Linked DNA regions of Anolis sagrei. The main gene of each other region encodes a partner of the protein of the gene in region 2 in a complex. Links are inferred from orthologs where the notes say so. Each region holds a gene or a part of one and is shown on either strand. Other genes may lie near its edges.

Region 1 (15,306 bases), on a different chromosome or scaffold from region 2:
GGCCTGCCATAGACTAAACAATGGCAATACATCAGGATGTACGATTATCCTAATTTTCTTTTATATTTCACCCATAACAATCAGCATACACCCCTTCAATTACAAACAAGAATGACTAGGCAGGAATTGCTGTTATAATCTTCATCTTCCAGAAGACACACAGTCTAAATGCATGACAAGCTAGCAGGAAATAAAAATACTAAAAAAACTGACTTATCTCTTTGAATGTTTAAGCAGGATTTATTTCCTCTGAAGCAAAGATGAAAAAGGACTGCCATCTGTTCAAAATTTAGAAAATATCTATATTCTCAATTGCAGAAATCTAAGAAGGGGAGTATGTTTTGTTTTTTTTTTAAAGTTACACTTCCTTTCAAAAAAGAATTACAGGCTGAGCATCCCTTATCTGGAATTCCAAAATCTGGATTACTCCAAAACCAAAAATTATCCTTATCGGTAGCTGAGATAGTGACACCTTGGTCTCTGATGGTTCAATGTACAGAAACTTTATTTCATGTACAAAATTATTACTAATATATAATAATATATAAGGTGTATATGAAACATAAATTAATTGACATGGAAGAAGAAGATATTTTAATATAGTTAAACTGGGAAGCCAATATCAACATTTCCCACTTTTAAGCTCTGAAGATACAGACTACATTACAGGATTTTAAGCTCTGAAGATATGGACTACATTACATATTAACTAGTACATAAACAACTTTGAATCACATCACTGTAGATGGCTCTTTAAATATTAATATGAGAATCAGAAAATTAGGATTCAAAACTGGAGGGAGATCCAGTCCCTATGATCCAGCACCCAGTCCTTATTTGCAGTTAACAGTAATCTCAGATTCTCTAAAACTAATGGATTGTTGTTTTTCCTTTAGCAAGAGCTGGAAACATTCTTTTGGTGAAATATGAAGAGTATCTATCTGAAGAAATAAAGCAGCCTAGCGACATTTCATTCTCACACCATCCTTTTCCTGGAAGAAATTTTCTGCACTGTTGTAGAGTCCAAGAACTGTGTAGCGTTAAAACTCCTGAGTGCCACTCACTTCCACAACCTCTGCAACAGCCACTAAATGACTGGAATCAACCTGACACCATTTTCCCAGCATGTTGATACCCATGCCTGCAACTATTTATTATCGCTGTGTTTTAATTATTTTTTGCTTGTTAATTTTAACTAGTCTCTTGTCCATAATTCTGCTTATATTATGGACTTAGTTGCATGATACTGTGATATCACAACAGGTACATTTCCTTTTGAATGCACACACAGAATATTTATCACATTCTTTGCTTTCTGGACTGACAATATTTTTAAGTAAAGAGTAACACTGAAATAGCTGTTATAGCATAAGCTACTTTCTGATTATGAGATTAGTTAATGTGTAGCATTGTTAGTTTTACAATGCATATAACCAGGATAAAAGTATCAAATTAAAACAGTGGCATCTCATGCTTCATTTGAATGCATCTTTTTTATATAATGAATGGAATGGGTGAAAAAGTACAGAGGTAGAAAAAACCAAACCCAAAATTCACAGTCTCGGTATTGTGGTGCCTCTAGGTACTCAAATGATCCTAAAAATATACGGCTCAAAAAGCTCAACTAGTACAAAATTATAAATACTTACACAATGTCACAAACTGTGAACACATTAGACTGCATGTATGACAGATATCAATTTTACTACAACCAGCCTCTCTAAAGCGTTGCAAACACAACTTAAATTTGTCAAAATATTTATTTTATTTTCCCGATGTTACATTTATACCAATTTTTCCCATCAAGTTTTATGCTTTGCTGCAATGTTTGCACACATGCATATTAAAACTGAATTGTCTCCAACAATATATACAGAGTGCCAAGAAAAATAATGTAGCAATCCCATGCTGAAATGATGAACTTCAAAGATGGGAGAAGATGCATTTTAATAAGATGTTCAGCTACATATGACTTCTGGGGAAGACAGAGATAGGAACTCCATTCTAGAACCTTCCAGGTTCACACGGAGATTAAACTGGCTCCCAGATCTGGAAATTCATTACAATAAAGAACATATGTAAAGCTGTATAATTAGAACAATAGTTGACAAAAGCACTGCTCATCTTATGTGGAACTGGCCTCCTCCTCCTCCAAAGTACAAAGTATCCTTCCAGGTACTTTGGATATTGGGAGAGAAAATTAATTTGCTGTGACTTGTGATCTGCTGTCAAAGGCAGAAAGGAGTAGCACTTCAAAATATGCAACAATAAAAAAGATTGGAAAAGGCTGATCTAAATTGTTAATTACCCGAGAGCACCCATTTCTGCATCTGACCTCTTATGTAGTTTGACACCACTGCCATGGCTCAATGCTATGAAATCCTGGGAGTTGTAGTTGGGTGAAACAACAGCAAAGAATGTGAAAGTTCTTTTAAAGCTTCAAGTACAACCCCCACAATTCCACAGCACTGAGCCATGGCAGTTAAAGTGATGTCAAACTGCATTCATTCATTTTGGTGTAGATGGATCCTTAGATTCACATATTTTGAATGGCTTTTATATTTTTCACCTCTCAAAACAGCTTTGTTTGTTTTGGATATGTTCCAGAATTATTATTTACCAAGCTACTTCTTACTTTTTCAAACTCATTCAGTAGACATATAGTGACCTATCTCGGTAGCATATTGACTTTCTTTAACTGCACTTTAAAAACCCAAGAAACACAGTTACTGGGATATGACTATGACTAATACCATAGGTGGATAAACTCACTTAAGGAAGCCACAGCCTTGAGTGGGCAAGATCTGAACTGCAAAGCTGTTAACACTGTGACTTCAAAGTCTCTCATTCATATGGTCACTTGGCAGTTAACAAATATGAATTAGATATGCTCTTTTTCACTAACCTTACAAAAGTTGGCATTTCTGTAGCAGTATTCTTAATACTATAGTTAAATGGAAATTGTTCAAAAAGTTAAGGCATAAGATATATAGTATTAGTAATAAAATAAATATATATGAGAGCTTTTTAAAATGAAAGTTGGAGCAAAGTCAGGATCATAGGGATGTCCCTAATAGGCATAGCCCCATAACTACACATGAAAGAATGCATTCTTGCAACATAAACTTTTTCTGGCTCTGCAAGTATTTACCAAATTATATGAAGGAAGTTCAGTATTGAAATTATACCACTATCATTTTTGCAAATGTATTCTGTCTGCTTATCCTCACATCACTGGAAAAACTTGAAACCTACTTAGAATTTCTGAGAGTATGTATTTTAGATCAGATTTTGGACACAGTAGCTTTCATATATACAAAGCTCTTTAGCATGCTTTCTTCAAGGTCCAACCTGGACATCTTGGTACATGAGCCCGAAATTCAATCAGCATCTCCACTCTTACTTGAAAAACACCCATTTCATATAGTGTGGGATGCTTGTTCTTTATGTTTAGTACCCTCAACAGTATTCAATAATAATCTGCAAGTGACAGCCCCATATTACTTCATGATATAGCTGACCACGTTTCCCCCAATACTGGGTTTTTTATGCTTTATAAAAGAGCACACCAAGTCATATCACATTGCTTGTCAGGACAAATAACTTAACCATCAATTACAATCATACCTGTTCTGATTAGCAGAGGTCCTCCAGGATCTCAGGAAGAAAGAAGACAAAATTTTCCATCCCCTGATACCTAAAGTTTTAACCGAAGATGCTAAGAACTGAACCTGGGATGTTTTATCTACAAATGCACTTGCTCTGCCACTGTTCCATGAATAAGGCAGAGAACTTCATTTTAATATTATTAGCAATTCAAGACTACATCTAAACCTTTATTTCAAAAACTCCAAATCCAAGTGGAGGGGACACTTTTTATTATACAGGTTGACTATCCCTTATTTGCAATTTTGAATTTTGCAGTAATATGTTTTATCTGGGTGTTTTAACTGTGTTGTACCCCCCAAGAGGCAGCTAACAAATAACAGTTATTATTATAATTAGAACAAAATAAAAATACTCCAAAATTCAAAATCATCCACTGTGATACTTTTGCTTCCATGTACCCAAACTTTGTCTCATGCACAACATTATTTAAGATACTGTGTATACAATTATTTCCAGGTTATATATACAATGTATATATGAAATACTAGTGAATTTCATGTTTATACTTGGGTCCTATTTTGAAGATATCCCATTATGTATATGCAAACATTCCAAAATCCAAACAAATCTGAAATATGGAACACTTCTGATCCCAAGCATTTTGCGTAAGTGATACTCAACCTGTACATATTTTGAGGTGGGAAAGCATGAAATCTTAGTATGATACTTGTATCTAAAATTTACCTCCCCTTTTGAGTCTCCAACTCACAATATCCAAGCAACAAAGTTTCAGAAACCTTGGACCCAGGCTTTTTCAATTCCAAGGGCAACACTTTTAAGCACGACAAAGCCACCACACTGGACAATTAGTTGTGTTTAACAAACTAAATTCCTATAAGTTTATCTCCCCATAAGTTCTTTGTCTTTAGGGTGCCACTGGCTACTTAGATGTGGTCAACACATTGTCTTCCCTTAGCTATGGCCAGATTAGACCAATTTGCTCACCAATCAGCTACTCATGAAAAATGTATATAAGGTATCTTTTAATCCCATTTGAAGGGTTGAAATGAGATGGCGTGTTCTCATGGCCTTGCTTTGCCATTAAACACCAGCAGAAGAAAATGAACTCCTCCCTATGACTTGAGGTGGAGTGGGGGAACAGAGCTTGGGGTTATTACTTTTGGGGCCTGCAGCTCCCAGAATTCCCCACCTTCTGGAGCTTGTATTCCAAAAAGCAACTTTTCGGAGCTGTGAAGAAAAGTCATTTTCCTTCTGCACATTACTTCTTTCACGTATGACTCCTACACCAACATCCCATTTCCTATTCCTCTCATCCCGGAACTGAACTCGGGCAGCTATTCTCTGCTTATTCCTTCCCCTTGAACTTCATTCACCTCTAATCATCTTTAATGTCTAAAAACATGAGACAATTTTCATAAAGAAGAAGGAAAATATAATGATATTTGTGGGCTTTGGGGATTAAGCTTTACCTGCTTTACTCAACAGGCAGAAGTTGAGACTCTATGCTAGATGGTACTTCTGCTTGGGACCAGAAGTGGTTTTTGTTTTTTGTTTTTTGGATTTTGGAATACCTGCATATGTATATGCATATGCACATACATACATGATGAGACACCTTGATAATATGACCCAAGACAAAACCCAATACCCATTTGTCCCTTATCCAAAATGCTTGGGGACAGAAGTGTCTTGGATGGATTTTTTTATATAAGGATATTTATACAAGATATTTTAAAATAATTTTGTGTATAAAACACAGGGAACAAAGGTGTCACACTTTCAGCCACCCATGTGGACAACTTTGGAGTATTTTGGAATCCTGTAAAACCTTTTAATGAGAAGATGATTATGCTTTGGGCTGGAGAGTGAGAAGTCAATTTTGAATTCTGTGCATTAAGAAAGAAGGGTTGTGAAGCATTTTTTCTTCATTTTCCCCCTTCCCCAACACCATCCTATTCCACATCACTTCCCTCCCTCATTTAAATATCTATTTTATTTACTTATGAAAATCTTAATTAAAATATTGTTTTAAAAAAGCAGACCTTTAAACTGTTAGAGGTCCAAGTTTGGGTCCAGGCTATTTGTCTAATCATATCTCCCCATACAGACCATTCCGTGCACTGTGGTCAGCAGAGGAAGCCCTCCTCTCAGTCCAACCCCTATCACAAGTGCAGTTGGTGTGAACAAGAGGGAAGGCCTTCTCCATGATCACTCCCTATCTGTGGAATTCCCTCCCAAAAGAACTAAAAGTAGCACCCACCCTCCTCTCCTCTTGAAAACGCACATGTGCACTTTGGCGTATGAAGAGGAGGAGGATTAGGACAGTCCTAACCTATTCCACTGCTGCTATGGTATATGAGAAGAACAACCTTGATAGTCATTTTAATTGCCTTTTCTAGGATTTATGTCTAAATGGTTAATTTATGTTAGCATTATAATTAGTTTTATTCGATTATTTGTATTTGGTCCTTATTTTCCTGTCAATTTCTCTTTTGTCATAAGTTTATGGTTATTATTTTGGTATTAATCTGTTGATTTTAAAATGTTTGTATTTGACTTGGGCATTGAATGTTTGCCTTTCTTGTGTGTAAACCACCCTGAGTCCTATTGGGGAGAGAGGGTGGTCTACAAATAAAGTTTTTTTTTTTAAAATATTATTAGCATGTCAGCCGCAGTGTGTAGGTGTGTCACACAAATGTAATGAGAAAGTTCTGGGTCAAGGTGAAATAAGCAATGAATCATATCTCAGAGAGAGAAAGATGTTCATGAAATATGTTGTGTCCCTATACATTTGAGCCAACAATGTGATGCGGCGGGAGAAAAAAGCCAATGGGTTTTTGGCCTGCATAAATGGGACTATAGTGCCTAGATCCAGGGAAGTCATGCTACCCCTCTATTCTGCCTTGGTCAGACCACACTTGGAATCACACTGTGTCCAAGTCTGGGCACCGCAACTGAAGGGAGATGTTGATAAGTTGGAGTGTGTCCAGAGGAGGGGAACTAAAATGATCAAGGGTCTGGAGAACAAAACCTATGAGGAGCGCCTTAAAAAGCTGGGCATGTTTAGCCTGAAGAAGAGAAGGCTGAGAGGAGGAGCATGTATAAATATGTGAGGGAAAGTCATAGGGAGGAGTGAGCAAGCTTGTTTTCTGTTGCCCTGGAGACTAGGACACGGAATAATGGCTTCAAACTACAAGAAAGGAGATTCCCCCTGAACATGAGGAAGAACTTCCTGACTGTGAAAGCTGTTCAGCAGTGGAACTCTCTGCCCCGGAGTGTGGTGGAGGCTCCTTCTTTGGAGGCTTTTAAACAGAGGCTGGGTGGCCATCTATCAGGGGTGCTTTGAATGCAATTTTCCTGCTTCTTGGCAGGGGGTTGGACTGCCAAGAGGTCTCTTCCAACTCAATGATTCTAAGATTTCACTATTAACAACCTATATATGTGTCACTATCTCTTATAACAGGCATGGGCAAACTTTGGCCCTCCAGGTGTTTTGGACTTCCACTCCCACAGCCGGTGGGCTGTTAGGAATTGTGGGAGTTGAAGCCCAAAACACTTGGAGGGCCAAAGTTTGCCCATGCCTGTTATAACCTCCAGTTTGTGAATAAAACTGAATTACTGTGTCGCAAAATTATGTTGGCAAAAAAAGTGTACCATCTCCTGAAAAGTTTGGAAGGCTCTGCTCTAAAGGGTGCTGTTGCCACTTAACATGATCTGTGGGGAGGTGCTTGGTTCGACCCTGGTGTTTGTATTTCAATGAAAGAGGGGTGTGGAGGGAGCATCAGGGGGACGGGTGGGCAGCGTGTGTCAAGCGTTTGGTTCCTCGGAGGAAGCCCCCGCGTGAGAGACTGAAAAGGGAAGGCAGCTTCACCTCGAGCTTGTGGTTGATCTGGGAGACGGTCTGGGCCTTGTGGCAGAGCTGGGCGAAGCAGGAGCTGAGGCTGGTCATCTTCTGCCGGCCCTCGTAGGTGATGTCCGCCTGGTCCGGGTCGATCTCGCCCAGCAGCAGGTCCACGTCCACGAAGGCCTTGTCGAACTCCTTCTCCAGCACCTCCAGCCACCGGAACATCGACAGGCCGCCCCCGCCGCCGCCCCCGGGGGACGAAGCCGACGAGGAGGCCGCTGCCCCACCGCAGGCCCCGGGGCCCGCCCCCCCGCAGGAGCCCCCGCCAGACATGGCGCCCCACTGGTGCTTCAAGCCTCTCCGCCAACTCACCCACCCACTCACCGACCCACGGGCCGCCTTGGCCTCCCTGCGCCTCACTCCCTCACTCGCTCGCTCGCGCACTCCCCACGGCGCATGCGCGGGAGCGGCGGCTCCTCTCCTGTCAGCCGGGAGACCCCGAGCGAGCGATTCCCTCGCCTGCCACAACGGAGACCCGCTGGCCAGGTGGGACGGGCCGAGCTCCGAATCATCGATCGGTCGGGAAGCTTCCCTTCCTGCCTCCCTCCCCTGCGGCCGCAAGGGGCGCTGCTGCGCAGTTTGAAGGGGCGGCTCCAACCAACCTTGGGTCCTCTGTCTGTTTAGAACTTCAACTCCCAGGATTCCTGGCAATTGGCAGTGGTGACAGGGGCTTCTGGGAAGCGAAGTCCCAATCAGCAGGAGGACCTGAGGTTTTCTCAACCTTCCTAATGCCGCGACCCCTTAATACAGTTCCTCGTGTTGTGGTGACCCCCAACCATAAAATTATTTTTGTTGCTATTTCGTAACTGTAATTTTGCTATTGTTATGAACCATTGAACCATAGAATCACAGAGCTGAAAGCCTCAAGGAATTCATTGGGTGTCCTAAGTTAACAGATGACTAAGTTAACATCTATCTTGGACAATTCAGAATCATAGAATCCTAGAATCAAAGAGTTGGAAGCGACCTCGTGGGCCATCCAGTCCAACCCCCTGCCAAGAAGCAGGAATATTGCATTCAAATCACCCCTGACAGATGGCCATCCAGCCTCTGTTTAAAAGCCTCCAAAGAAGGAGCCTCCACCACACTCCAGGGCAGAGAGTTCCACTGCTGAACAGCTCTCACAGTCAGGAAGTTCTTCCTCATGTTCAGGGGGACTCTCCTTGTAGTTTGAAGCCATTGTTCCGCATCCTAGTCTCCAGGGCAGCAGAAAACAAGCTTGCTCCCCCCTCCCTATGACTTCCTCTCACATTCTTATACATGGCCCTTATCATGTCTCCTCTCAGCCTTCTCTTCTTCAGGCTAAACATACACAGCTCTTTAAGCCGCTCCTCATAGGGCTTGTTCTCCAGACCCTTGATCATTTTAGTCGCCATCCTCTGGACATATTCCAGCTTGTCAATATCTCTCTTCAATTGTGGTGCCCAGAATTGGACACAGTATTCCAGATGTGGTCTAAGCAAAGCAGAGTAGAGGGGGAGAATGGCTTCCCTGGATCTAGACCAGGGGTACTCAAACTAAGGCCTGGGGGCTGGATGCGGCCCTCCAAGGTCATTTACCCGGCCCTCACTTAGGGTTAACCTAAGTCTGAAATGAAAGCACACAACAACAATCCAATCTCATGAGCCAAAAGCAGACCCACACTTCCCATTGAGATACTAATGAGTGTATATTTGTTAAAATTGTTCTTCATTTTAATTATTGTATTGTTTTAAGTGTTTTTTGCACTACAAATAAGATATGTGCAGTGTGCATAGGAATTCATTCATATATATTTTTCAAATTATAATCCGGCCCTTTAACAGTTTGAGAGACTGTGACCTGGCCCTCTGCTTAAAAAGTTTGAGGACTCCTGATATAGACACTATATACCTATTGATACAGGCCAAAATCCCGTTGTAAATATCTGATATGCAAGATGGATTTTCATTCACTGGACCAAATTTGGCACAAATACCTATTATGCCCAAATTTGGATAGTGGTGGGGTTGGGGGGGGGGGAGTAGATTTTGTTATTGGGAGTTGTAGTTACTGGAATTTATAGTTCATCTTCACTCAAAGAGCATTCACTTGGCACACATAACTCCCATGACCAAGAGAAAATACTGGAAGGGTTTTGTTGGGCATTGACCTTGAGTTTGGGAGTTGTAGTTCACCTACTTTCAGAGAGCACTGTGAACCCAAACAATGATGGATCTGGACCAAACTTGGCACAATTACTCAATATGCCGAAATGTGAACACTGGTGGAGTTTGGGGAAAATAGACCTTTGGTATTTGGGAGTTGTAGTTGCTGGGATTTATAGTTCACCTACAATCAAAGAGCATCCTGAACTTCACTAATGATGGAATTTAACCAAACTTGGCACACAGAACTCCCATGACCAAGAGAAATTATTGGAAGGTTTGATGGGCATTGACCTTGAGTTTTGGAGTTGTAGTTCACCTACACCCAGAGAGCACTGTGGACTCAAACAATGATGGATCTGGACCAAACTTGGCACAGATACATAATATGCTCTGGTGGAGTTTGGAGACCTTGACATTTGGGGGTTGTAGTTGCAGGGGTGTATAGTTCACCTTAAGAGAGTGAAGATGAAAAATGCTCTTGATTTTTCTGGTTGTCAAAATGGTGATTTGCTATTTCTGGAAGGTTCCATGTGAACAATTCACTCCATTTTGTGGCCAAAATGGGTGTCACAAGGGATCTGGAAGACCAGAGGAGTGACACACATCTTCACACATCACAGTGCTGCCTCAAAGCGTGGTGGTATTTCTTTCTCGTAAGGTATTAAACAGAGGCTGGATGGTCATCTGTCAGGGGTGCTTTGATTGTGTGTTCCTGAAAGCAGGGGGTTGGACTGGGTGGCCCTTGGGTAACAACTCTATGATTCTGTCTAAATTGTAACTAAAGTAGCTGATGTAATACATCAGCATTTCCCCAACGTACCCAGGGCTGTAATCATATGTGCCATTCTATCATTGCAAACTTTCCTAGAAACTTGCCACAGACCAGTAGCTGATATCTCATAGGTCAGCAGTGCTTCATAGACCATTATTTTCAGTAGCACTAATCTAAAGAATGGAGCCCCCGGTGGCACAGTGGGTTAAACCCCTGTGCCAGCAGGACTGAAGACCGACAAGTCGCAGGTTTGAATCCGGGGAGAGGCGAATGAGCTCCCTCTATCAGCTCCAGTTCCTGATGCGGGGACATGAGAGAAGCTTCCCACAAGGATGATAAAAACATTAAATCATCCTGGCGTCCCCTGGGCAACGTCGTTGCAGACGGCCAATTCTCTCACATCAGCAGCGACTTGCAGTTTCTCAAGTTGCTCCTGACATGACAAAAAAATATATATCTAAAGAATGGTGTGAAAACCTCCTATCGCAAATGGTCCAGAAAGCTCTGAAGACTATAATCACACCTTTTTGCTCTGCCATGTGTATTAGTCATGCTCCATTTGGTCTTCTAAGGTAAAGGTAAAAAGGTTTTCCCCTGACATTAAATCCAGTCGTGTCCAACTCTGGGGGTTGGTGCTCATCTCCATTTCTAATCCAAAGAGCCAGTGTTGTCCGTAGCTGGCTTGACTGCATGGAGCGCAGTTACCTTCCCACCGGATCGGTACCTATTGGTCTTCTACAGAAGTGGTTCTCCATATATTTTGGACTTCAGCTCCCAGAAGCCCCAGCTAGCATAACTTGTGATCGGGAATTCTGAAGAATGAAGTCCTAAACATCTGGAGGACCAAGGGTTGAGAACCACTGTTCTCCAGCATTCTCTAAGTGAAGCCTGTTTAGAATTCTCCATTTGGCCACAGACTTCTGGACAAGCTGTTGATCAGGGCCAGTTCCAAATGTGATTCGCTTGGTGTGTCAGCTACACTGGCTATCCAAAGCTTTGAAAAGTTAGACTAGGGAAACTTAAATATTCTAGAAATTTATCAAAATAAGTGTTTTCCCCCAGATATTGCTATTTACAGACACAGTTATGATGTACGTATGGTTCACCTATAACCCCCTGAACAATCTGGGCCAGGCTACATGAAAGGCAGCATTCATTCATACAAACCTGGTCAGATTTTGATTCCAGTGGGATGTGCCCATTGTCTATGAGCCATGAGAGGGGCAGTTGTTGGGGAAGAGTAGGTCATCTCACAATGGCCATTCCTTGTTGAAAGCGGCATGCTCTCTCTCTTTTCTTTGTCCTTCTGTTGGTAGAAAGAAAGCCCTTTGGCATTTCAGTTATTTATTGGCTGTAGGGACCGCTAACCAACTAAATTATCATTTATTGTTATTGCTGTGTTTTTATTGCTGAATTTGCTTTAATTTAGATGAGTATTTTATTATTTCAGCCACCTTGATTACCAGTGTTGGTGGAAAGGTGGGTTATAAGCCAAATAACAGATGATAAAATGAAGTACACTGTGATATGTTTTGAAAAGTTAACGGAACTATGCACTGTCCCCTTGAGACAGCTTAGATGTCAGCTTTGGTTTATCCAGGGCAATACTTCACTGGATTACCAACAAAGCCACCTAGTGCACCTGCTGTGAGGAAATCAGATTTCCTCATTACTGGGAACATAATATTGAATTACTGAGGAACTGGCACTTTCCTTCTCCACATGTACTAGATTATCGTCATATACACCTGATGCACCAGTGGAAATTTCCTCCTTTCTATCCATGCCACTTAAAAAAATATGTGGAGTTATTTTTTGGACTAATGCAAGTCCAATGTTGGACTATTACAAGTCCAAATGGTATTGGACTTGTGCTAATTCAACACTATTTTTGGACTAGTACAAGTTTCCATTTTTCAAAATATTTTTGTTGATTGAACATCCTTAACTCTATTAGGAAAATAAATGTTAAGTGCAATTATTTGAAAGGGGCTACAAAGTCCAGCAAAAGTAATCTCCTCCTCTTTCACCCCCATCTTCAACACCAACCTTTTTGCTTGGAATGCAACAAGGCCGAGGAGAGAATGCTTTAAAGTTTATCTTTAAGCGACTTCTGTGGGAGAAAACACATCAAAGCAACTAGTCAATGTCACCATAAAAGATCGCTTAAGAAAAAATACAGTATTACAAACACTGGATGGAGTCAGAACACAAAACTGCATTTTAAAGTTCTGCTACAGTCAGGTGTGCATTGACTGCAACCTTAAGCAGATGGATGGGAGGCGTTAAACATTCTGGAATGCCTCCCTGTTGCTCTGCAGGCTAGTGAGACAGTTCAGTTCCTCTGAATTGTTCTTTCCCTTTGAATTTTTGTTCTGCCTTTGTGTGTAGAGGGGTGCAGCATTTGTTCTTGATAAGACAACAAAATCCTGTTCATAAAGAATCACTGGTTGAAGCTGTGTGACAAACACTCTCATGTAATAAAGATTTTTATCACTGACAGGTGCAATTTGGTCAAATACCAGAATCCAAGGACAAATCCCTGTCAATTTCTTTTAAGTACATTGTGTTCTCTGAAATCTCACCTCAATTCAGATAAAAACTCCTATACTGACCTTCAGATCCTGTCATTAAAATAATCCAATATGACTTATATTACATTTTTGTCTTTATCAGAGGACTTCTAAGCCAAAGTTTTCAGCACAGTGCATTTATTTATTTATTTATTTATTTATCGTGTCAGGAGCAACCAGACATTTGCATTACAGCACAGTGCATTAAAAACACAGAAATCCACTGATTTTTTAAATAAACATAAAGCAACAAAAGAATAATGTCAAACGTAAAGAAAACACAGCAAAGTTAAGGAATTTTATCGAATGACAGCTGGGAAGCAGACAAGGAGCACTAATATTACAATGCAGTGAATTCCTCTAAATCAGTGTTTCTCAAACTCTGCTCTGTTTTGGACTTCAGCTCCAAAAATCCCAGCCAGCTTACCAGCTGTTAGGAATTGTGGGAGCTGATGTCCAAAACATCTGAAGGAGTACAGTTTGAGAAACTCTGCTCTAAATCATTACAGACTGAAACAGCAGATCAAGATGGTAATACTGTACATTATTAAGAAGTGGAGATGGGAAGTTACTGTATTCTATGTGGGATCAGCCCAAAAGAGAAAGAGGAAAACATACCATTGTAAAAATAACAAAAATGTGCTAAAATGGCAGGTGTGCAACCAGGATCTACTTAAACACGACTGTTCATAACGGTTGCAATACACTGATCTGGACTATGGCATAAAAATGTTGCCTATAGGAAACTGCTCATTTGCTTTGGTGGCAGAGCTACTGACATTTATATCAGGCATTTCTTCAGAAGAGTGTCATGTCAGCTGGTACAAGATAAGCAAACTGTGGTCATTCAGATGCTGTTAGATACAAGTCTCCCCAATCCCTTATCATTGGCCATCCAATGGTTGCAATCTGGAGGGATGTGAGGAGAACTGCGTGGAGCAATAACTTGGTTTTTATGGACCATATGGACCAATCATTGAGGGCAAAGAGGAGGCTAAAAGTAAATCCATCAGAGTTATGGGGGGTTTTTTTTGTTTTGTTTCCTTGAGCCAATGGCTCAACAGAAAGCAGGGCAGCAAGTACAATATTCCCCATGGCAGTAGTTTGATGGTATGAATGGCCTCACCACTGGATTGCTGTCTGTTTCAGAGACAGCAAAGGTGCAAGAATGGAAACAGACTTAAGCAGCCTATAATATAGTCATACTTGGGTCAGTGAACGGATGCACAGTGGGTGACTGTGAGACAGTGAAAAAGAGGGTAAAGTTATCTGAGCAACAGATTTATCCAGGAGACAATATCAACTATGAGCTTTAATCAGTTTTAAAAATTCATTTCAGCAATGACTATTGTTAAACTATGGGAAAGCATATGTGAAACAAAATAAGTGTTCTTGTTTTTTCTGGATCATTTAACTAAGAATGAATTAACTGGGTGCTTCAGAGTATTTTTTCCTGGTGGGTTTTGAATATCCAAATATTTTATAGCCCACTATAAAAGAACTCTTTATCTTTTCTCCCAGCTCCTTCTGTGATGTCACATTTAGCCAAATGAGGAAACTACCGATAATGGAAGTGTTTGCAGATTACACATCGGGCAATAAATAAGATCAATTTCCCATGCCAGACAAAATAAAGATTCCTTATCATTGTTTAAACTTTTTGCTCTTTGTGACACCTGCTAATATTTTAACCCACATAAGAGATGGTATTTTCTGCTTCCCCCTTCCCTTAAAAAAAAAAAAGAACACACAGCTGTATTTATCTTTTTATCAGGTGTTATGGTATAAAAGACCACATGGTTGCTTAAGTTCATGTTGCAGTTCATAGCTAGCTGGTTGAACTGAAGGATCTTTAGGAAAATGAAGCAATTTTATCTATTACTACTTTTGTTTCACTTTTACAGGGCTGTCATCCCCATGTGCCCACGAAAATGCAGCTGTGACTTGGCAAGAAGGGTACAATGCTACCAAGTTGGAGAAATTCCTAGAGGGATTGCATCTACTTCCAGAAGAATTCATATCAGCCACAGCAAAATAAAACGGCTCCAGGTAGAATGGTTTCTTCTCTCTTTCTCCTCCTCCCCTCCCCATTTCATCTATTCTTCCCTTTCATTTGGTTAGGTAATTAAGAGTTACATACAAAGTATATCATTATGGTAGGGGAAATTTAAAGGGTAAAGAGACGTCTACTTCTTAGCTTCTAAAACAAGGGAGGGAAGTTCCTCCAGATGTTGTTGGGCAGCAAGTTTAAGTAGCCGCAGCCAGCAAAGGTAATGAGTAATGCTAGGAGTAGCAGTC
Region 2 (15,487 bases):
TAGGGTAACATGTAGTTAGGATTAAAGTACAGGGTGTTTCTTAGCCTTAGAATTTGTTATTAATATGAAAAGGGAGCTCACCATACTGTCTTACACACAAAAATCCATTTCTGGTTTTTGTCTGAGCTTTCTTTGTTTCAGCAAGAAAAAATAACCTTTCTGTTGCTGCTATTGTTAAAACAAGAGGGAGTCAAAATTCCTTGTCACCATAAGATCCCAGATCTAGTGATGCCCATCCCTGCCAACTCCCTAATGAAAAGCTGATTCAGCACCTGTACTAAAGGAAAAGATGCATTGTTTAATTTCTTTCATATTTTCATAATTCACTGTTTTTATGGGTCTGAGGTAAGAGTTTTGTCCATTTTTGGCCTTGAAAATTATTATTTCATAAACTGATCATCAACTGAGGGTTTTTTTGTTTTAAAATGTTTTATTTACCTTTAAAGGTAAAGGTAAAGGTTTCCCCTTGACACCGAATCTAGATGAGTGTGACTCTGGGGGATGGTACTCATCTCCATTTCTAAGCCAAAGAGCCAGTGTTGCCCGTGGATGTCTCCAAGGTCATGTGGCCAGCATGACAGCATGGAGTGCCGTTATCTTCCTACTAGAGCGGTACCTATTGATATACTCACATTTGCATGTTTTTAAACTGCTAGGTTGGCAGAAGCTGGGGCTAACAGCAGGAGCTCACCCTGCTCCCTGGATTCGAACCCACGACCTTTTGGTCAGCAAGTTCAGAAGCTCAGTGGTTTAACCCGCTGCAACACCAGGGGATCCTTATTGATATCAGAATGTTGACTATACTGATAAAAATTGATACAGTTTTTTGTAACAGATAAAAGCATGCTCTTGTCATTAAAGAAAATGTATATGATACAGTACTAGAATAGTGGTGATCATAAGAGTATTAATATTTTATTAATCCACAGACTTGTAAAATTCGAGATCTTGATATTCAGCTGATTTAAAATAGGGTACTACATATACCCAATCTAATGGCACTTACCTATAGACACCTGTGAATTGGATAATAGCTTGAATTGTAGTTTTAATTATTCATTAACCCAAATAATTTCAGTGGGATTCATTCTTGGGTAATCGTATACCTTGCAGCTTTAATTCTATTAATGTATGTCAGGTTAGCTTTAAGATTCTGAAGATACATCACCCTGCAATGAAGATCCACATAGCTAAAGCAATTGTATTCCCCGTAGTAACCTATCAATATCAGAGCTGGACCATAAGGAGGGCTGAGCGAAGGAAGATACTGTAGATCCTTTTGAACTGTGGTGTTGGAGGAAAATTTTGAGAGTGCCTTGGACCACGAGAAGATCCAACCAGTCCATACTTCAGGAAATAAAGCCCAACTGCACGTTGGAGGGAGGGATAGTAGAGGCAAAGATGAAGTACTTTGGCCACACCATGAGAAGACAGGAAAGCCTAGAGAAGACTATTATGCTGGGGAAAATGGAAGGAAAAAGAAAGAGGGGCCGACCAAGGGCTTGACTCTGAAGGAGCTGGGGGTGGTGACAGCTGACAGGGAGCTCTGGTGTGGGCTGGTCCATGAGGTCACGAAGAGTTGGAAGTGACTGAATGAATAAACAACAAAAAACTAAGGAAAGCTTAAAATAATAAAGTTTCTGTGGGAGCATAACAGGCACCCAAACTGCATTAAGGTGAAGTGGTTTGCCATTCATACAACCTAGCTAAAATGCTTTTCTTGCCTAAAAACTGTCCAAAAATCGCAACCAGAAGTGACACCGCATCATTCTGCTGCAACATGCTACTATAACTGGTGTGTGTGTGTGCATAAATGTGTTGGTGAGTGGCTTAGAAAACCCTTCAACATATAGTTTGCTACGCTAACCTAATGGGTTTCTGCTGCCTGTGACATTCTGGATTAGCAGTATTCTGAAAGGTCCTCCCATTTTTTTTTATAGCAAACAAATGTTTGGCCTTATGAATTGCCTTCCAATTTCTCCCCCCATCCCTTGATGCTTTGTGTTGTTTTGGTTGTGAAACATGAAATTCCTGCAGAATTAACTTTAATTAGATAGCTTACAAATATACGTAATTTCTTCCAGAATCTAAACAAACTCAGGAGAACAGTGATTTACTTTGTGGGATCACCACTTACTGTATCCACTAGAATAAATTAGAGGTGGCCCACTGTAACAGACCCAGAAGTCAATTTGCTCCTATTCATACCATACAAATTCTGCCTAGACTGCCTAAAGTCTGGTCTTGAAAAAAAAGTATTTTTGATGTTAAATAGTGCTTAAATGATGGATTTTGCCATCCCTGGAGGCATTTGAAACAGCAGAAAATGTCTGAGGCAGCGTTACTCAACCTGGGGGTCAGGACCAGTGGAGGGGTCATGGGGGGAGGGGGTGTCAGAGGGGTCGCCAAAGACCATCAGAAAACACAGTATTTTCTGTTGGTCATGTGGGCTCTGTGTGGGAAGTTTGGCCCAATTCTATCGTTGGTGGGGTTCACAATGCTCTTTGATTGTAGGTGAACTATGAATCTCAGCAACTACATCTCCCAAATGTCAAGATCTATTTCCCCCTAATTCCATCAGTGTTCACATTTGGGCATATTGAGTTTTTGTTCCAAGTTTGGTCCAGATCCATCATTGTCTGAGTCCACTGTGCTCTCTAGATCCAAAACCCAAGGTCAGTGCCCACCAAACCCAGTATTTTCTGTTGGTCATGGGAGTTCTGTGTGCCAAGTTCGGTTCAATTCCATTGTTGGTGGAGTTCAGAATGCTTTTTGATTGTAAGTTAACTATAAATCCCAGCAACTACAACTCTCAAATGACAAAATCAACCCTTGATCCAAACCCACAAGTATTCAAATTTAGGCATATTGACTATTTGTGCCAAATTTGGTCCAGTGAATGAAAATACATCCTGCATATCAGATATTTACATTGCAATTCATAACAGTAGCTTAATGACAGTTATGAAGTAGCAATGAAAATAATTTTATGGTTGAAGGTCACCACAACATGAGGAACTGTATTAAGGGGTTGCGGCACTATGAAGGTTAAGAACCACTGGTCTGAGGAATCAAAGGGCCCATAAGTCCAACTTGCCAACATTGAAATTCTAACTAGTAGAGGGACTGAAAGTGCTTCTCACTCGTTTCACATGGGCTTAGTCCGGTAGTTACTTGCCTTGTAAATTTGTCATGTTCTGCAAATAAGTGGCTTGTGGTTGTTGTTGATCCTGTGGCAAAGCCTTGAGATGCTTCTAGACATGAAGCTTCAAGTTGAGTGAATTAAAAGACACTAGACAGCTATTTTATCCTTCCTGTCTTATTGGATTTCTTGTGCTAAGAAAAATAAGCAGTGAGAAAACACAGATTACAAATAAAAGATAATGTCTGAACAGCGAGCAAAATTCTGTGAATGAAATATAATAGGTTGCACAATACAAGGTTTGTCTGAAAGCCCTCTGTAAGTATAATCGCAGGGTTTAATGTGAGAGGTTTGCTTCTAGATAAAACCAACAAACTCCCTGAAATAAGACAACTAGCAGAATAGGGATTTAATGTTTCGCTACACTTCTTCTTAAAAGTTGCAATAAGTAATTTCAGCAATTTTCTTCTCATTGTAAGAAAATTTTTGAATAGAGAGTGAACAAAGAAAACAATACAACCTTGGTGGTCAGGAATTTTGGATATGGCATTTGTTTAATGGTTGACTTACAAATTTATGGCAAAGAAAATGATACTTGGTCAGGCCTTGGTGGTAGGGTTATGTGTTTGTGAAACGTTCATTGTTTCGTATTCCGTTTCTGTATGTAAATAATTTTTTTAAAAAAAGAAAAACTTTGAATACCATGCAGTTTTTGAAAGGCTATTTGCAATTTTGGACTTATTTGCACAAAATTCACAACCTTTTTGTACAGAAACCAGCATTTGCTGTGCAGAAAATAGAATTTTTTTATTGAGAACACAGCCAAAAATATGTTCTGCATAGGAAACAATATTTCACAAAAATGATGTGCAGGAATTATTGACCTAGGTGGACCAAGGGTCTGACTTGGCTTCCTATATTCCTAACTGAGTATGACACGAAGTTCAAAACGAACCCCTTTTATTTTGCCATTTTATATAAGGAGTACCATTTTATTAAGCCATTTTATAATGGTATTGTGCATCCATAGATTTTGGTATCCATTGGGTACCAAAGGCCCACTTTAGTATACACTGCACTATACAGAAATGTGTGGGATCTGAAGGGTTTATTAGACTGCAAACACATGGAAAATTTTGCACACTGGGTGCAAAAGGGACTCACCTTTGTAAAGCCAGACAAAGTAAAGTAAGTAAAGGTAAAGATTGCCTCTTGCCATAAAATCTAGTTGTGTCCAACTCTGGGGGGTGGCACTCATCTCCATTTCTAAGCTGAAGAGCCGGTATTATCCATAGACACTTCTAAGGTCATGTGGCCAGCATGACTGCATGGAGCGCCGTTACTTTCCTGCTGAAGCGATACCTATTGATGTACTCACATTTACATGTTTTTGAATTGCTAGGTTGGCAGAAGCTGGGGCTAACAGTGGGAGCTCACCCTTCTCCCCAGATTCGAACTGCCAACTTTTCAGTCAGCAAGTTCAGCAGCTCAGTTGTGCCATGGGTGGCCAGACACAAACTAAAAAATTAGAATGATAAAAGATAAGCACAGGAGCCAAAAGGACCCAAAAGCCAGTAAAAACAAGCCAGGTAAAAGAAAATCACCCTAGACATGCATATTTCTAAGCTATGCATGGAATATCTCTCTCTGTTGTGAAAGAATACTCAGTAGGTTGATATAGGTGCAGAAATTAAATAGCCCAGCTATCCCATCAGAAGGAAACTGCTTAATAAAGTTGTATGACCTTACTGAGATGGACAAATTGACAGTTTTGATTAAGGAAAAGTCATTAAATAGTTTTAATAAGGATTGGGAATTGACTTGTTTTTCTGATGGATTATTGAGGGAAATTATCTACAGCAGAAGAATAGCAGAATTAAATAATGTGCAGAAGCTTGTTTAAAGTATATTCTAGAGAAAGTATGATAATTTAGTAATTATAATCATTAGTTCAGAAGTCAGATGTCATTTGTCTTTCTCCTTGGGTTTAATGGTGTGCTAAATTTGGTGTATGGTGTTCATGTAATTTGTAGTGTTCATAATTATAGGTTGTAAATGTGGATGGTTTTTATTTTTTGTAATCTTGCCTTATATTATACAGTGAGACCTTCCTATTTGTTGGGATTAGGGGCACAGTACCCCTATGAAAGAGGAAAGATTACAATTTTAATTTTACAAACCCTATATATATATTTTAATCTAAGAGAACATCTTTTTGAGTCCTCCAATGCAGCTCATGTGAATGGGATCTAGGAATCTTAGGCTGGATTTATGCTGCCATACAATTCAGTTTCAGAATGTCAGATTAACTGCATTGAACCGGATTTTATGAGTCTACACCAGTGTTTCTCAATCTGGGGGTTGGGACTCCCAGAGGGGTTGTGAGGGGATGTCAGAGGGGTCACCAAAGACCATCAGAAAACACACTATTTTCTGTTGGTCATGGCAGTACTGTGTGGGAAGTCTGGCTCAATTCTATTGTTGGTGGGATTCAGAATACTCTTTAATTGTAGGTGAACTATAAATCCCAGCAACTACAACTTCCAAACGTCAAGGTCTATTTTCCCCAAACTCCACCAGTGTTCACATTTGGGCATATTGAGTATCTGTGCCAAGTTTGGTCCGGATCCATTATTGTTTCAGTCCACAGTGCTCTCTGGATGTAGGTGAACTACAACTCCAAAATTTTCACAAAACCCTTAAAATATTTTCTCTTGTTCATGGGAATTCTGTGTGCCAAGTTTGGCTCAATTCCATCACTATTGGAGTTCAGAATGTTCTTTGTTTGTAGGTGAACTATAAATCCCAGCAATTACAACTCCCAAATGACAAGTCAATCAACCCCTCCTCAACCCCACCAGTATTCAAATTTGTGCGTATAAGGTATTTGTGCCAAATGTGGTCCAGTGAATGAAAATACATCGTGCATATCAAATAATTACATTATGATTAATAACACTAGCAACATTACAGTTATGAAGTAGCAACAAAAATAATGTTATGGCTGGAAGTCACCACAACATGATGAACTGTATTAAGAGGTCACAGCAGTAGGAAGGATGAGAAATACTGGTCTACACTGTCATAGAATCAAGTTCAATACAGCCAATCTGCATTCATTAGAGCGAGAGAGATACTCACATGAACACCTCAGCAAATGAGAAGCCAAAAGTGGCAGGCTAAAACCCAACACCTTAATCAGTGGCTGAGAAACTCCCTCCTGGGCACACAGAAGATTGGGTGACCTGGAAGGCGCTGAACAGGCTGCGCTCTGTTTCGGGGCCACAAAGTGAAGTTCACAACATGTGATTGTGGAGAAGAGCAAAACACAGACCACCTATTGCAATGCTGTCTGAGCCCTGCCACATGCACAATGGAGGACCTTCTTATAGCAACACCAGAGGCACTCCAAGTGGCCAGATACTGGTCAAAGGACATTTAGCATTTTAAAACTTTTTTTGTGTTTTTAAATGCATTTTTACTGTACCCTCAACTCGCTTCTGACACGGTAAATAAATAAAATCTGCATTCTGAAATGACATGAGATGGCAGTGTAGATGCAGCTTTAACAGACTACCACCAGAACATGAGGCAGCAGTGTGATGTGGCAGCTACAAAATCCAATACGATTCTAGGCTGCATCAATAGTAGTGTTGTGATCAAGGAAATTCACAGCACCACTCTATTCTGCAGCACCTAGAAAACGGTTCGGGTCCAGACTACCGGGCTAACTGCACCTTAGGGGAGGCCCTCCTCTTGTTCTCACCCCCATCTCAAACCCGGATGGTGAAAATGAGAGAGAGGGCCTTCTCTGTAGTTGCCCCTCACATCTGGAACTCCCTCCCGAAGGAGATCAGAGTTGCCCCGTTGCTGTCCTCCTTTAGGAAACAAATACAAACTTTCTTATGCACTCAGGCATATGGAGATGTAATCTGATCTTAGCTGGCTCCGATTGTTTCCTGTCTGGAACTCCCCTGTTTTCTGAGTGGTGTTCTTTATATATTTTCTGGTTTTAGAGTTTTTTAATTCTGGTAGCCAGGTTTTGTTCATTTTCCTGGTTTCCTCCTTTCTGTTGAAATTTTCCACATGCTTATGGATTTCAATGGCTTCTCTGTGTAGTCTGACATGGTGGTTGTTGGTGTGGTCCAGCGTTTCTGTGTTCTCAAATAATATGCTGTATCCAGGCTGGTTCATCAGGTGGTCTGCTATGGCTGACTTCTCTGGTTGAGGTAATCAGCAGTGCCTTTCATGTTTCATGTCTGGGCAATGCTGTGTTTGATGGTCCCTATGTAACCTTGTCCACAGCTGCATGGTATATGGTAGGCCCCTGCATAGGTGAGACGATCCCTCTTGTCCTTTGCTGGATGTAGCAAAGGACAGACTACAATGTCAGACTACACTGAGAAGCTGTTGAAATCCACAAGCATGTGGATACTTTCAATAAAAAGGAGGATACCATGAAAATGAACAAAATCTGGCTACTAGTATTAGAAAAAAACTCTAAAATTAGGAAAGTAAATAAAGAACAACACTCAGAAAACAGGGGAAATCCAGACATGAAACAACTAACACCTCCGAACAAAGGATTCCTCACATGCATGAATCAGCAAGGCCTTGAAGTGGCAAGGCTTTGCAATGCTTATCAGGATGATTAATTGCAATATTCACACTTGCTTCCAATCAGTGGATTTTAACCTGTGGGCTGCAGACCACCAGTGGGCCGCATGGACAAAAATCCAGTCTGCGAGCCTCCTTCCTCTATATTTATTTTATTTTAATTTATTTATTCTATTTCCACTCCTTTCGTGCCACCTGCCACTCCTTCCCTGTCGTTAACTATGGCATATTTTTTTATCAGAAACTAGAGCTGATGTGGTCTATCCTATGCAGTTTTCTGAATCAGCACCTCAAACTGAATCTAAAGTTGACCAAAAACTGATTCGTAACCCTTTTGGTACTAACGTTGGAGAGTGGTCCCTGGTCAAAGTGCTCCTTGGGCAACATGGCCCCTGGTCAAAGTGGTCCCTGGTCAAAGGGCTCCCTCGTCAAAGGGCTCCTTGGCCAATGTGGTCCCTGGTCAAGAGGTCCCTGGCCAAGTGATCCATGGCCAAAGGGCTCCCTGGTCTACGTGGTTCCTGGTCAACGTGGCTCCTGCTCATAGTGGTCCCTGGTCAAAGCGGTCCCTGGCTAAAGGGCTCCTTGGCCAACGTGGCCCCTGGTCAAAGAGCTCCCTGGTCAAGAGGGCCCTGGTCAAGGGGCTCCTTGACCAATGTGGTCCCTGGTCAAGAGGTCCATGGTCAAAGTGGTCCCTGGTCAAGTGGTCCCTGGTCAAAGAGCTCCCTGGTCAAAGGGCTCCCTGCTCATAGTGGTCCCTGGTCAAAGTGGTCCCTGATCAAAGTGGTCTCTGTTCAAAGTAGTCCCTGGTCAAAGTGGTCTCTGCTCATAGTGGTCCCTGGTCAAAATGGTTCCTGGTCAAAGTGGTCCCTGGTCAAAGTGGTCTCTGATCAAAGAGGTCCCTGCTCAAGTGGTCCCTGGTCAAAGGGTTCCTTGGGGACACAAAGTGGTATTTGGTCAAGTAGTTGGGAACCACTGCCTCCAATAGACAAGAGTTCTTTCTCTCACCCTGAGCCTTTCACAGAGATATAAACCTCCCTTGCCTATTTTCCAACAGACTTCACAACTTCTGAGGATGCCTGCCATAGATGTGGGCGAAAAGTCAGGAGAGAATGCATTTGGAACATGGCCATACAGCCCGGAAAACTCACAGCAACCCAGTGAAAGCCTTCGACAACACATGTCTGAATTGTGTTACATACTAGTGTAATTCTATAGCAGTTCAAATGGCATCAAGAGTGCACTATTGCCACAATATCCACCTGTACTGAGTTTGGCAATGCTTTCCAACAGGGTTCTGGGACCTTGATCTTTTCATAGGTATCACGAGAGGAAAGAACTGTTGATGTGTTGAGCCTGCCGGTGAGCATAATGTAGAAGAGCCTTGGCAAAGCTCTCCATGGGGTTGCACCGGGAAGGCTTGGCAGAGGAGGAGGAGGAAGAAGAAGAGGAGGAGGCAGAGGCAAGAGCGCCTTTCTCAGCCCCGAGAGGCACCTGTCGAGGCGCTTTCCTGCGGAGGAGTTCGGGGCGGGCAGGCGAGGGCAGGCTTTTGAAGCCCGGCGGAGTCCGAGAGGCGGGGAGAAGGGCAGGAGAAAGAGGGAGGCGGGGACCTCGGCCAGCCTTAAGGGGGGAGAAAAGCGCGACCCATAGGGCGCCGAAAACCCTTCTCCTTCTCCTTCTTCTCCTTCTCCTCCTCCTGCGAAGGCCAGCTCTCCCTCTCCGCCTCTTGCCGCCTCCGAAGCAGAAGGAGCCATGCAGAGGTCGCCGCTGGAGAAGGCGAACGTGTTCTCCAAGCTGTTCTTCAGGTGAGCGGGGCTTGGGGGGAAAAAGAAAGAAAGAAAGAAATGGGGGAGATCGCCCCCAAACTGATCCTTTTCGCTTTGGCAAGGAAGCAAGCATCACCCCTTGAGCCCTTTGCCCGACTCTCAGGGGCGCTTTGAGGAGGGATTTGTGTTGTCCAAAGGAATGGGAATAGCATTGTCCGAAGCGAAGTTATGGATTGTTTGGGAGGAGCGCGGGGCTGCCTCCCATCTCCTCCTGCTTCATCGGGAGCTGGCCTTGGCAAAGAGCGGCCAAATGCCGATAGGTCAGTCCTGGAAACAGTTGGCCGGAGGAGAGGGAAGAGGAGGTTGGTTCCCACAGGAGGAGAGAGAGGAGAAAGAGGAGAAGGAGGAGGAGGAGAACAAAGTGAAGAAGGAGTAGGAAGAGAAGGAGAAGGAGGAGGTGAAGGAGGAGGAGGAAGAGGAGGGGAAGGAGGAGAAGAGGAAGAAGGAGGGGAAAGAGAAGGAGAAGGGAGTCCTCTTCCATCAACTCCTTGCTCCCGTCCTTCTCAGTACCCTTAGCTCCCTCTGATCACTAAGAAGGGGGAAAGGAGGAGGAGGAGGAGGAGAAGGAGAGAGAGTCCCATCATCTCCTTGCCTCCTTCCTTCTCAGTGCCCTTAGCTCCCTCTGATCACTAAGAAGGGGGAAAGGAGGAGGAGGAGGAGAAGGAGAGGGAGTCCCATCATCTCCTTGCCTCCTTCCTTCTCAGTACCCTTAGCTCCCTCTGATCACTGAGAAGGGGGAAAGGAGGAGGAGGAGGAGAAGGAGAAGGAGAAGGAGAGAGAGTCCCAACATCTCCTTGCCTCCTTCCTTCTCAGTACCCTTAGTTCCCTCTGATCACTAAGAAGGGGGAAAGGAGGAGGAGGAGAAGGAGAGAGAGTCCCATCATCTCCTTGCCTCCTTCCTTCTCAGTGCCCTTAGATCCCTCTGATCACTGAGGAGGAGGAGGAGAGGGAGAAGGAGAGAGTCCTCTTCCATCAATTCCTTGCCCCGTCCTTCTCAGTGCCCTTAGCTCTCTCTGATCACTAAGAAAGTGAAGAAGGAGGAGACGGAGGAGAAGAAGGGGGAAAGGAGAGAGAGCTCTTCCATCAACTCCTCGCCTCCTTCCTTCTCGGTGCCCTTAGCTCCCTCTGATCACTGAGGAGGAGGAGGAGGAGGAGGAGGAGGAGGAGGAGGAGGAGGAGGAGGAGGAGGAGGAGGAGATTGAGCCCTCTTCCATCAACTCCTTGTCCCCTTCCTTCTAAGTGCCCTTAGCTCCCTCTGATCACTCAGAAGGAGGGGGAGGAGGATGAGGAGAAGGAGAAGGAGAGAGAGAGCCCTCTTCCATCAACTCCTTGCCCTTGTCCTTCTCAGTGCTCTTAGTGCCCTCTGATCACTGAGAAGGAGAAAGGAGGAGAAGGAGAAGAAAGGGAAGGAGAAGGAAAGAGAATCCTCTTCCATCAACTCCTTCCCCCCTTCCTTCCCGGTGCCCTTAGCTCCCTCTCATCACTGAGGAGAAGGAGAAGGAAAAAAGGAGAGAGATTCCTCTTCCATCAACTCCTTGCCCTGGTTCTTCTCAGTGCCCTTTGCTCCCTCTCATCACTGATGCTTTGTAATGCTGGCAGGTGCTGCTGGGGCTGGATCTACACTGTCTTATATCCCAGGATCTGATCCCAGATTATCTGACAATGTAGAAGCATATAATCCAATTCAAAGCAGATAATCTGGGATCAGATCCTGGGGTATAGAGCAGTGGGGATCCAGAATAAACCATACTTTTCAAATTCATGCAGTTTTATTGAGCATCCCTCCCCAAGTTCAAGTTCACCTTTGGTATAAATTGCCTTTTGGCTCACTTGCGGGATGTACTCCTTGCTCATTCTGACACAGAGCCCAAAGGCTAGGGCTCTTTCTACACTACCCCCTAAAATCCATATTATCTGCTTTGAACTGGATTATATGGCAATGTAGACTCATATAATCCAGTTCAAAGCAGATAATGTGGATTATCAGCATTGATAATTGGATTATATGGCAGCATAGAAGGGGCCTTGGTCTACAGCAGGGGTCCTCAAACTAAGGCCCAAGGGCCAGATACGGCCCTCCAAGTTCATTTACTCGGCCCTCACTCAGGGTCAACCTAAGTCTGAAACAGCTTGAAAGCACATAACAACAACAATCCTAACTCATCAGCCAAAGCAGGCCCACACTTCCCATTAAAATACTAATAAGTTTCTATTTGTTAAAATTGTTCTTCATTTCAATTATTGTATTGTTTTAAAGTGTTTTTTGCACTACAAATAAGACATGTTCAGTGTGCATAGGAATTCATTCATGCTTTTTTCAAATTATAATCTGGCCCTCTGGATTATGATTTGAGGGACTGTGACCTGGCCCTCTGTTTAAAAAGTTTGAGGACCCCTGGTCTACAGTGGGCCAGATCCCAGGATCTGATCCCAGATTATGCTATATAACACAATCTTTTGTTCCTGAAGTTATAAAGGTCATTTTCTCATTGGTTCTATCATACAAACATGGAAAAGTACATCCTGCAGCACATTTTGCTATAGTTTTTCAATGAATATCTCATCAAGTCTCAACTAATTCAACACACTTTGGGGCAGCCACAAAAATGAAGTTTCTGGAAAATAGTAACTACTTTCAAAGTACTGGTAAAAATGTTGAAGCTTAACCCAACAGTGTGAAAACATAATAGAAGTTCGATTATTGTCATTTTAAAAAAATTAAATAAAAAAGATAACTGGAAACAAAAACAAAACAAAGTAACTACCGCAGAATTAAATGGGAAATAACACTTTCAAAAACCAGGAACAGATTTTTTTTCAAATTTTGTTACATAATATTATCTGCTTTGAACTGGATTATATGAGTCTACACTGCCAGATAGTCTGGGATTAGAAGATAATGGGGGATCAGATCCTGGGATATAGGGCAGTGTAGATCCAGCTGAAAAAGGAGAATCCTGACCACAGTTCATCAGGGATTGACTCAGCAAAGGGCTCCAAGTTCTCAGCTTGGACATGGGATGAATGCAAGCCAGTCTGCATTTCTTGTTCCATAGGGAACCTTGTTGTCAAATCTAAAGTCACTTTGGATCAGAACCATAACCATAACAGATAAGAGAGCTATTCCAATACAAAATGAAAGTCACAGATTGGTGGCACCTAGCTTGAAAACAGTTCATGTGAAAGAGATCTAGGAGTCTTAAAATCTGCACAGCCATATAATGCAGTTTCAGATTTTATGAGTCTACACTGCCATGTAATCAAGTTCAATGCAGCTAATCTGCACTTTGAAATTGTATGAAATGGTAGTGTAGATCCAGCCTTAGCAGACTACCAGCTGAACACGAGTCAGTGTGATGTGGCAGCTACAAAAGCCAATGCGATTCTATGTTGCATCAATAGGAGTATAGCATGGAGACTGAGGGAAGTCATAGTCCCTCTCTATGTTGCTTTGGTCAGACCTCACCTGGAATACTGCATCTAGTTCTGGCCACCACATTTCAAGATGGATGTTGAAAGCTAACGTGTCCAGAGAAGGGCAACTAAAATCATCAAAGGTTCGGAAGCCAAGCCCTATAAGGAGCATCTTGGGGAGCTGGGTATGTTTAGCTTAGAGAAAAGAAAGCAGAAAGGGGAGTCATGTTTACATAATTGAAAGAATGTCACATTGAGGAGGGAGCAAGCTTGTTTTCTGATGTTCTGGAGACTAGGGGCCCTTTCACACTGCCCTATATTCCAGGATCGGGTCCCAGATTATCTGTTTTAAACTGGAATATATCTGTCTCCACTGCCAGATAATCTGGGATCAGATCCTGGAATACAGGGGCAATGTGGAAGAACTCTAGGACTTGGAGCAATGGATTGGACTAGATGTCCTCTGTGGACTCTACCAACTCTATGATTCTATAATTTTAATAAAGCTGTAAGAGGGGCTGCAGCCAAAGCTTTTTTTTAGTTCATCTTAAGTTCTTTAGTACAGTTTGTATGTCATCTTATTTCTTTCACAGGGTACATCTACACTGTAGAATTGATGCAGTTTGACATCACTTTAATTGCTATAGCTCAATGGATTTCTGGCAGTTGGAGTTGGGTGAGGCATTGGTCCTCTTTGACAGAGAAGGCTAAAGACCTTGTGAGGTGACAACTTCCATGATCCCAAAGCACTGAGCCATGGCAGTTGAAGTGGTGTCAAACCAAACTATTTCTACAGTGTAGATGACCCTGAGACATCAAGGTAAAGAGGAAAGGGGCTTTCAGGTGTTCTTCCATCATGCCAACTCAAAGGTGGCTGAATGTCAGAAAAGTGGCTCTCATATCATGGTCTTGCATGAAGTTCCCTGAGTATCCTGTGTGTGATTTCTGTTTTAAGCTAGAGGTAGGAATCATGTGCCATTGATGCTGCAAGTTCCACAGACTCCTGGAACATACTGGGCAAGAGGGGCTTGATTCCTCCTTCTCTAGACTAGGGGATGAGGGATGAGCTCCCTTGAATTATCTAACAAAAATTGGACCATCAAGATTCCCATCCAGTTGAGCCTTCTCAGGAATTGTCAGTCAGAAGTATACTAAATGATTTAGCATTACGAAATGTTAAGAAGGCTATTGTAGGAGTAATCAAGGTTGTCTGTGAAACATTATTTGTTAACTTACAGGGTAAGTTACCCTGAATTCATGAACAGCACTTCTAATTACACATTGCTCTCCAGATTGTAGGATGTTTCAGTGATAGTTTGCCCTCTCCCAAAAGTGGGATCATAGAATCATAGAGTTGGAAGAGACCTCATGGGCCATCCATTCCAACCCCCTTCAAAGAAGCAGGAAAATTGCATTCAAAGCACCCCCGACAGATGGCCAAAGGCCTCCAAAGAAGGAGCCTCTACCTCACTCTGAAGCAGTGAGCTCCACTGCTGAACATCTCTCATAGTTAGCTGAGTTTCGGAGGGGGGGGGGGGCTGAGTCTGAGTGAAAGAGGGTCTAGCCTAGCAAACCTTTTGTATCATTACCCCAATATCCCCATGCATATGGGATATATTGAGTATGGTGATCAGATCATGATATGAATAAACGTAACAGTTTAAATAATGCACCAATAAGGCCTTTTCGCGAACCACCATGAAAATTTTGGGGGGGGGGGGGGGCTGAAGCCCCCTGAGCCCCCCCCCCCCCCGGCTACATGCCTGACCAGGGGTCCTCAGACTTTTAAAGTATGCACTATAGGTTGAAAAAAACATGAACAAATTCCTATGCACACTGCACATATCTTATTTGTAGTGTAAAACAAAAAAACCCTAAAAGAACAATACAATATTTAAAATGAAGAACAATTTAACCAGCTTAACCTTACCAGTGTTTCAATGGGAAGTGTGAGGCTGTTTTTAGCTTATGAGAAAGTCAAGTTAACCAGGTTTGTTGTTGATGATGCCTTCAAGTTGTTTCAGACTTAGGGTGACCCTAAGTGTAAAGTTTAGGGCGTGGGCTAGGTAAATGACCTTGGAGAGATGCATCCGGCCCGTGACCCTTACTTTGTGGACCCCTGCTTTACACCTTGTCTGTAACTCCCAGCCTTTTTCTGCATGGAGTTGTACTCCAACGACATCTGGAGAACCATTTGATTTCCAACCCTGCATCAATGCCAAAATAGTCCGGGCAGAACTCTGTCATATGGCAGGGAGATAGCTTGAGTCTTTTGTCCTTCATGGTATGGAGGAAAGGAGAAGTATATCTCATTCTGTCATAACACTAGAACTCAGGGTCATGCAGTGAAATTGATTGGCAGCATGTTCAAGACAAGCTTGAGAAAGTACTGCTATATCCTGGTGTTCATTTATAGAATTCATGGACACAAAATGTGGTAAAGGTCACAAGATAGCTTTAAAAGGGGATACACTCAGAGCTTGGGGAAAAT

The links.
Region 1: the proteins of CFTR (region 2) and GOPC are in contact, whole or in part, in an NMR structure (PDB 2LOB), measured with the Homo sapiens proteins. The link is inferred for Anolis sagrei from reciprocal best matches to the Homo sapiens genes CFTR and GOPC. Residues at the interface, in NP_000483.3 of Homo sapiens: Val1475, Gln1476, Asp1477, Thr1478, Arg1479, Leu1480; in NP_065132.1 of Homo sapiens: Gly298, Leu299, Gly300, Ile301, Ser302, Ile303, Thr304, Gly305, Glu308, His309, Glu317, His319, Thr347, Lys348, His349, Lys350, Glu351, Val353, Leu356.

Annotation. Positions count from the first base shown.
Region 1 is NC_090021.1:89,456,886-89,472,191, reverse strand, and holds the start of GOPC (Golgi-associated PDZ and coiled-coil motif-containing protein), read right to left. Parts: upstream 7,808-15,306; coding exon 7,502-7,807; intron 1-7,501. Other genes in the region: nephrocan-like, read left to right, coding at 7,806-8,020, 14,913-15,057.
Region 2 is NC_090025.1:130,802,229-130,817,715, reverse strand, and holds the start of CFTR (cystic fibrosis transmembrane conductance regulator), read left to right. Parts: upstream 1-9,449; 5' UTR 9,450-9,508; coding exon 9,509-9,561; intron 9,562-15,487. UniProt on the Homo sapiens protein: Epithelial ion channel that plays an important role in the regulation of epithelial ion and water transport and fluid homeostasis. Mediates the transport of chloride ions across the cell membrane.